2 linked regions of the Saccharomyces cerevisiae S288C genome follow. The protein of the gene in region 1 interacts with the protein of each later gene in a pairwise test. Each region holds a gene or a part of one and is shown in the gene's direction. Other genes may lie near its edges.

Evidence for each region.
Region 2: the proteins of DAL7 (region 1) and PEX9 interact in a two-hybrid assay, tested with the Saccharomyces cerevisiae proteins (2 studies listed by BioGRID).

What each region holds. Positions count from the first base shown.
Region 1 is NC_001141.2:412,502-416,893, reverse strand, and holds DAL7 (malate synthase DAL7), read left to right. Parts: upstream 1-2,214; coding exon 2,215-3,879; downstream 3,880-4,392. Other genes in the region: MGA2 (Mga2p), read right to left, coding at 1-770; DAL3 (ureidoglycolate hydrolase), read left to right, coding at 1,277-1,864; DCG1 (Dcg1p), read left to right, coding at 4,124-4,392. UniProt on the Saccharomyces cerevisiae protein: Allantoin metabolism-specific malate synthase involved in the recycling the glyoxylate generated during allantoin degradation by the ureidoglycollate (UG) hydrolase reaction.
Region 2 is NC_001145.3:308,212-312,569, forward strand, and holds PEX9 (Pex9p), read left to right. Parts: upstream 1-1,996; coding exon 1,997-3,541; downstream 3,542-4,358. Other genes in the region: SPO20 (Spo20p), read left to right, coding at 1-471; STB4 (Stb4p), read left to right, coding at 3,945-4,358.

The sequences.
Region 1 (4,392 bases):
ATACCTGATTTCCTTCTAGCGGCTCTTCTTTGTTCTCGCTTAACACACTTGGTACAAACATTTGTCGTTCTGTTGCTGACCGCACATAGAACAAACGCATTGATGTACAGAAGATTTTTCTTGAAGTCTTCTGAAAAATCCTCGATATTTTTTTTTAAATAAAACTTTTCTCTTGAAATGGAATCGCTAGGCAAGTAAAGCATGCTTTGGTTTAGTGGTGTTTCAGACGTAATTTTCACTTTCAGTTTCAGTTGATTTTCCACTCTAGATACTTGTGGCAAACCTGAGACCTCTACATCCAAAGGTAGCTGCGCTGCGTTCACTTTAAGGTAATCTAAAGGATTTATGTAAACAGATTGAATCGTCTCCTTTCTTCCAAATACAATCTCGTCATGAGCAGGGTTGCCTATATTTTTTTCATTAAAAACCTTATTTTCATGCTCGTCCTCTTCTTCCTCCTTCAAGGCTCTGTTACTTTCCATTTCCTCCTCCAGTGGAGTGGACACGTTTTGGTTGACATGAGTATTGTTACCGATACCTTCGAAAGACAACAGGTTGGGCGAATCACCCTCATCTGTCTTGATAAAATTTTGGAAATTAGCACCCTCATCAATATTAATATGCGCCATGCTATCATCCTGGTACATGGGAGACCCGTTCAGGAGGAAATCGTCCAAGAGCTGTGATTCCATTACGCTATTCGCGTGCAATTGAGATATATGAGGGTCGCTTCCAGGTGTTTCCGTTAAGAACTCACTGTTCTGCTGCATAACGAAATGTTCTGTTCGCCAAAATGACCTTCAATAAGTGCCTTTAAATGCACAATAAGGGGGGGAAGCAGGATCTAGTCTTAACGACCCCAAGAACGACTGTTGATCAAGCGCCGCTGTCCTTTTAAAAGGCTTTCGGCGGCTGTATTTTCTGGTTTAGAGCTCACCCATTTGAAAATGTTGAGTTTTTTGTCATGATCCACGATATAAAAAGAAATACGACATTTCTAGGGTAACATCAGAATGCCCTTGCTTTTATTGTTAGGGTTATTTTCAAAAGTAGAATTTTGGAAATAAGTCCTAGCCTTTTTGTAACACTAACCCTGAGACAAAGTGCCAGATAAGATAAGATGGATTGGCAAATAAATGGGGAAAGATAAGCGAGGTAAGACTGATAAGAAGCATATGCGGTCTATTCATGTGCATTCGCATATATAAGTCAGTAACTGTCATCCAATCGCTCTTGATGCTTATCTTGTAGGGCAAAAAATCTTTGAAGCAAAGATATGGTGACCGTGGTGGCGGAGACATTGACGAAAGAGTCCTTCGAGGAGTATGGGACGATAATTTCGCCAGATGAAGAGATTTCAAGGATGCAAAACCTTGAAAAAGGTGCAAACCAGGGAACAGCGATCAAATTGCTTCAAGTAAGCCAGGTAGAGAATAAATCTACCAGTAAAGTTCCCAATTGGAACCTATTCCGTTGCTTTCCACAGCCGCACCTGAATAGAGTATTCACTCAAGGCTCCAATCAGGCGATTTCTCATTCTATCAAAGTCCTCGAAAAGCATCCGTGTAGTACGCAGACGTTTGTGCCTATGGGGAGAACGTCAGCGGAAGTAGCATACTTGGTAGTAGTCGCTAAAGAAATTGGAAATAAGCCAGACTTGTCTACGTTGAGGGCTTTTACATGTTTGGGTAATCAGGCCGTTACCTATGGCTTAGGTACCTGGCATGCGCCCATGATAGTACTTGGCAAGGAAGAACATTTGGATTTTTCAGTCTTAATCTACGAAAGTCTGGACCCTGACAGGCCCGAGAAGGACTGTGTGGAAGAACACTACAGCGATGGCGACGTTTGTATTATCATCTAATTCTGCGACTGTGGGCGAAGTAAATATGTAAATGTTCATGTATTAGTAATTTCATAGGTTTACGATTATCGACATAAAATCTCCGCTGAAAGTTGCGGTGCGATAGAATACCGCGGATTTTGGAAAATTGCGTTTGCTTTTCTTATCACATAAATTGAATTTCATAAGTTTTGGCTTATCTTGGATAAGGTACATCGTGAAAGTATCACAAAGATTGGATAGTTTCGTCAATTGGTGAAGCAATAAGTATAAAATGGGGACATTTACGCATGTAGTCTTAATTCTTCACTTTCTGTGCAGTTGATATCACTTAGAGTATGTGTCATAGGCACGGTAAAGAGCACTGAACAATGGTGAAGATAAGCTTGGACAACACTGCTCTATACGCAGACATCGACACGACTCCTCAATTTGAACCTTCCAAAACTACTGTAGCTGATATTTTAACAAAAGATGCCTTAGAGTTCATTGTTTTGCTGCATAGAACTTTCAATTCAACACGGAAACAGCTTTTAGCCAACAGAAGCAATTTACAATCAAAGTTAGACTCTGGTGAATACCGATTTGATTTCTTGCCGGAAACCGAACAAATCAGGAACGATCCTACATGGCAAGGTGCTATCCCAGCCCCTGGTTTGATCAACAGATCCAGCGAGATTACTGGGCCACCATTGAGAAATATGTTAGTCAACGCTTTGAATGCTGAAGTAACGACATATATGACTGATTTCGAGGACTCTTCATCTCCAACTTGGGAGAACATGATTTACGGACAAGTTAATCTTTATGATGCCATTAGAAATCAAATCGATTTCAAGACACCAAGAAAGGAGTACAGGTTGAAGGATGACATTTCAAGACTGCCCACTTTAATTGTCAGACCTCGTGGCTGGCACATGGTGGAGAAGCACCTTTACATAGATGATGAACCGATTAGTGCTTCCATCTTCGATTTTGGTTTATATTTTTACCATAACGCTAAAGAGTTAGTTAAAATTGGTAAAGGACCTTATTTTTACTTACCAAAGATGGAGCACCATATGGAGGTAAAACTATGGAATGACATATTCTGTGTTGCACAAGATTTTATTGGAATGCCCCGCGGTACCATTAGGGCCACTGTTCTGATTGAAACTTTGCCAGCGGCCTTCCAAATGGAGGAGATTATCTATCAAATAAGAGAACATTCAAGCGGTTTGAACTGTGGTCGTTGGGACTACATATTTTCGACCATTAAAAAACTGAGAAACTTGCCTGAACACGTTTTGCCAAATAGGGATCTAGTGACTATGACTTCACCTTTTATGGATGCTTATGTGAAAAGATTGATCAATACATGTCACCGTAGAGGGGTCCATGCGATGGGTGGTATGGCTGCCCAAATCCCCATAAAAGATGATCCAAAGGCTAATGAAGCTGCAATGAACAAAGTTCGTAATGACAAAATTAGAGAAATGAAGAATGGGCATGATGGGTCATGGGTAGCACACCCAGCATTGGCACCGATTTGTAATGAAGTTTTCAGTAACATGGGTACAGCAAATCAAATATATTTTGTCCCGGATGTACATGTTACATCATCTGATTTATTGAATACGAAGATTCAAGATGCTCAAGTCACTACTGAGGGAATCAGAGTAAACTTGGATATTGGCCTACAATATATGGAGGCTTGGTTAAGGGGATCTGGTTGTGTCCCAATTAATCATTTGATGGAAGATGCCGCTACTGCGGAAGTATCACGTTGTCAATTGTACCAGTGGGTTAAACATGGTGTTGTCTTAAGTGATACCGGTGACAAAGTAACTCCAGAATTGACCGCTAAGATATTAAATGAAGAGACTGCAAAATTGGCTTCAGCAAGTCCGCTGGGTGAAAAGAACAAGTTTGCCTTGGCAGCCAAGTATTTTTTGCCTGAAGTCACTGGTAAAATCTTTAGCGACTTCTTGACCACTTTATTGTATGATGAAATTATTAAGCCAAGTGCCAAACCAGTTGACTTAAGTAAATTATAGAATGTATACGTACATAACCTGACGAATATTCGAAGAATTTTAGGCGCTGTTTTAACGCATAATCCAATCAAATTTGAGCTGATAAGGCCTGATAAGGTATGACAAATTGAACTCATATTTTTTCTCCATGCCAGATCATATTTAAGCCTTTGAAGCGAGAATATGTAAGGAAACTGAATTACTAATTCTTACCTCAGGAAAATCAAAAGAACAAAGAAAAACTAGCTAAGCAAATTATCGAACGATGGAAACAAGAATACTTGTTGTGAATCCTAATAGTTCGAAGTCAATGACGGTGTCCTTGCGGGAAACCATTGAAAAGACTTTTTCAATGGAATCATGTAAAATCAGTTATTTCACAGGGCCAGACACGTCGCCACCACAAATTGATGGGCAGGAAACAAGTATTAAAAGTATGGAGGCCTGTCTTCCCCTCTTAATTGATGACCAGGAGTCGGTATATTACTTTCAGAAATTCAACGGGATATTAATTGCCTGTTTTTCAGATCATCC
Region 2 (4,358 bases), on another chromosome or scaffold:
GCCCATGAAAATAGAAGCCTGCTTGCATTAAAATCACCCAACCCCTTCAGGAAGAAAAGGGAGAGAGAAAAGCGAGACCAGATCTACAATTTGAAGTTAAAGCATCGTCACTTACAGCAAGAAACTATGAAAAGAGCCCAAGATTCTGACAAAAATTTAGCCATAAATCTAAGTTCTGAATATGGACGGTATGGCCAAGGGGTGGAAAGACAGCGTATTCTTAGAGATGCCCAGAAGTATCAGTTTGAAGCCGATGAAGAAGATAACCAAATGGAAATCGACTTGTACGGAAACCTAGAACAAATAAAAGCGGTGAGTGGTGACTTGAAAATTATGGCTCACGCTTTTGGCAGAGAGTTTGAAGCACAAAACACTAGAATGTTTGACATCGAGAACAATGTACAGCAGGCAGATAATGCTTTACAGGCCAAGCGATATAGATTGGAGAAAGTGATCGGGAAAAGATGGTGATCTGTTATACACACAAAATATCGTGTATAAATATATTGAATAAATAGTTTCTAAAAAGGCATACGCAGATATTCTTGCGAAAGAGAAAAAAAAAAGAGCGAGGGGGACATTAGTACTGAAGGTCTCAATTCTTCTTTGTATTTTCTTTCGGAGTTGTCAGACAAAGCTTTCTCTTTCCCATAAATAAAGTGCATTCAAACATCGGCAGGTTTGTTTTTCCCAGTTGTTACGTATTTGTTTCCCGTTCCATTCATGATCTTAAACTGGGTTAACTGAAAAATCAACATGATTTTGTGAAAAGTAAAAGAGGGTAAGAAAGATAGATACCGCTGTCGTGGGACTATATTTTTTACAGTACCAAGTCTACTTGCTTCTCATAAAGTTGATAAGTTATAATTCATATAATTTCATTTGTCAAAAAAGATTTTAGTTACAAAACGATATCAAAGTTCAATCTTGTTGGGAAAAAGGAAAACATTATGAAGGGTTTCCGGTAATCACTGCGTATGCCACACTATTCCTATAGAATTGTCTTGATTGGGTGCTTATGCTGCGGAAAAATTATATTCTGCGCTTGCCTTTTATATTAAGCGTCACAACGCCCTTACCAAGATCGAGCGGATTAAGACAAGAGTGTATCTCAAGCGTCCGTATATGTTTAAGTTGAAAAGGATATTTAGTAAGAATAATTCTACCCTACAAACGATATTAGTAAAAAAAAAAATCAATAATAGAGTTATTGTACAAACATGTTCTGAAAATTGGAAGCATCACATCGTATGCTACTAGAGAAAATTTTTACTATCCTTTTTTCCACAAGCCCAGCCCTAGCCCGATCATCCTATTAATTGTCAGACCACCGAATGCTATCCCGCCACGGTTGATATAACGAAACTCTTTACTGCTTTGGGTCAAATATGCCTCTTTTCCGCATTTTTTCGGAGTAGTTCATTGCCGCATACATACCGCAACTTGGACGAGGATGTCCTCCTTCTCTTACTTTTTTATTCGTTTCCAATTTGTTTCTCGTACCGTTCAAGTTTCAAGCCTACAAGAAATGTACACGACATGGATGCGTCAGCCTGATTCAGATATGACAAGATTGTTCCTGCGCATATGTGAATATGAGCGCACGCAATACATTGAGATCTTATTTGGGTTTGTAAGTGCAAACTTAATTTACTTTGCTTCCTGCCGGTTTTGATGTGCACCTGGGAACTTAAATAGCCGCCAAAAGAAAAGCAATCAGAGCGGCGCGGCGCAGACAAAACCCGAAGAGTTTCCTGGGAACGGTAGAGGCCTTGGTAGTACCTTACTAACGCCGGAGAGGATGATTGATACGCATTGAAATCGTACAGAAAACTTGGGGCAAAGCGCTCTTACCCCAATATTCTCACCCAAACAGTGGCAATAAATAAAGAAAAGGTCATCACTTTTTTTCGTACTCTTATCCGTTTTATTTTATTTTATTCTTTTTTTTTGAGTGGAGAATCATTAAGAATAAAGGGTACCTTTTGTAAGCACGATGAACGAAGTTACTTGTTCCATAACTGGTGACAACCCAATTCATAAGATCAACAATGGATTAGGCTTGAAATGGAATAATCTGGGTAAATTCTCTGATTTTCAGACTAACGATAGCGCCGCGCGAGATGCTAGAACAATAGATTACATCTTTACCAATTGTCAAACCGGCAGCAGTATTGGTAAGATAGATTTTCGGGCCGCACTACCGGCAGATAAATCTCAACATAGTGGTGTCAGCGAAAAAGAATTTTCAAGACTTGAGAACCAGTGGTCAAAGGAATTCTCTTGTTTCCCCAAGAATAAAAATGCTGATGTGACCAAGCCCAGTAGAAACAAACATGAGAAACGCTCCGCTAATTTGCACAATAGGTACTTTGCACAATATTATAGTACGGCATATCAGCAAAATCGTATATATCCTTGTCGAATATCTTACAATGAACACTCATCTGTTTCTAATGGCTGGGAATTTCAGTTCAAATCAATCGAAAATCAGTTACTAAATGAGCTAAAGATAGAAAACAATGTAGAAGAAAAAACTGTTGGTTATGAATATGTGGCAGAATACGAAGAAACAATTGATTTCATGCATATGCTGTCATCCGTACCACAAACATATCAATTCCTAAAATCAAACATCTACATAACGGAACGGGACCCATATAAAATAGGATGTGTACTAATGGACAACGGTTCCAATTTGAACGAAGTAGTAATGGCCTTTGAAGCAGCCATTTCACAAGATCCAAGCCATATAAATGCATGGTTGAAGTTAGGTATAGTTAATTTTGAAAATGAAAGCGAAAGCAATGGAGAGCTTGCTTTGCGAAATTGCTTAAATTTGGATCCAAATAATACAATTGCATTGGAAAACTTAGCAATTCACCATATAAATCAACAAAATGAATCAGAGTCATTGAAACTTTTTCACAAATGGATTCTTTCAAAATTTTCGAAGGTTTTCCAACCTTCTGCGGGGGAAAACAAAGATAGCATTAATAAAATTCCGAAAAAGGCCCATTTGGCGCATATTCTAGAATCCCTGTTGAATATGGGTATAGAAAAAAAAGATCAGTATGATATATATTCAGTATTATCAATCTTATATTATTCGGATCAGAAAATAAAGCAATCTCAGAAATGCTTAGAGTTTTTACTACTGGAAAAGCCCAATAATGGAACAATATGGAATAGATATGGTGCTATTTTGGCCAATACTAAGTCGTATCACTCTGCGATAAATGCGTACAATAAATGCAAACAACTAAGACCGAATTTTACAAGGGTTCGTTATAATTTAGCGATCGCCTACATGAATAAGGGTGACTATGTAAAAGCAAGCAAAATGCTAATCGAAGTTATACTGTTACGAAGTAAAGGATATGAACACAACAAAGCAAAAATGCAAAACAAATTTATGCAAAATTTAAAAAATGCTCTCATCGCTTCAAAAAATTTTGATTCACTTGATCTAATAAATGGTTCTCATAATACAGAATCGTTAATATCAACCTTAAAAGCTATTTATAACAAAATGGATTAGGTTTTAGTTAATTTTTTTGCTATATAGTGCATTCAAAATAAAAAAAATTAAAGCTGAAACAAACCAAATATGCTATTGGACGTTCGAAAAGCTAATTGCGTAAAGGAACACTAAACACAGCAAGCTTATGCTAGTTCTTCTCAAAAATATAAGTTCCTCTTGCAAGAATATGAAGGTAATTTCACTTTATCGCGCAAGTGCATATTTCTGAGTTTACTATGTGCTTCGTCTGAAACCTCTCATTATCTACTTAATATCGGCTATTCATCTCACGTATTCACGTAATATTTGATTTTTGTACTACTATTTCTCTCTGTCATACGTGCATGATACATTTCCTTGTTCAAATTAAAAGAGTCACCGTCAGCCTCTCAAAACAAAGAAAAAAGATACCCGGCTGAACATGAGTATCAATCATGAAATATATTATATACTTGTATTTGAGCATCGTTCAGTAGCAATCAAGCTCATCATCGTAGTGATTGTTCTCCTTCAGTTTTTTTTAGCACGAAGTCGGCAAATTGATAGGACATGGGCCCATACTAATAGAAAGGAACGGTTCAGAGAAATGACAGCTATCGGGAATACTGATGATGCACTTGATACTAGTACAGCCGCAAGTAAAGAAAATGGAAAAGGTAGACTCAGGGTTCAAAAAGCTTGTGAACTTTGCAAGAAGAGAAAGGTTAAATGCGACGGTAACAATCCTTGTCTGAACTGCTCTAAACATCAAAAAGAATGCCGTTATGATTTCAAAGCTACAAACCGTAAAAGAAGAAGACGACAGGTCGCATCAGCTGTTCGGGACGTTAGTAAG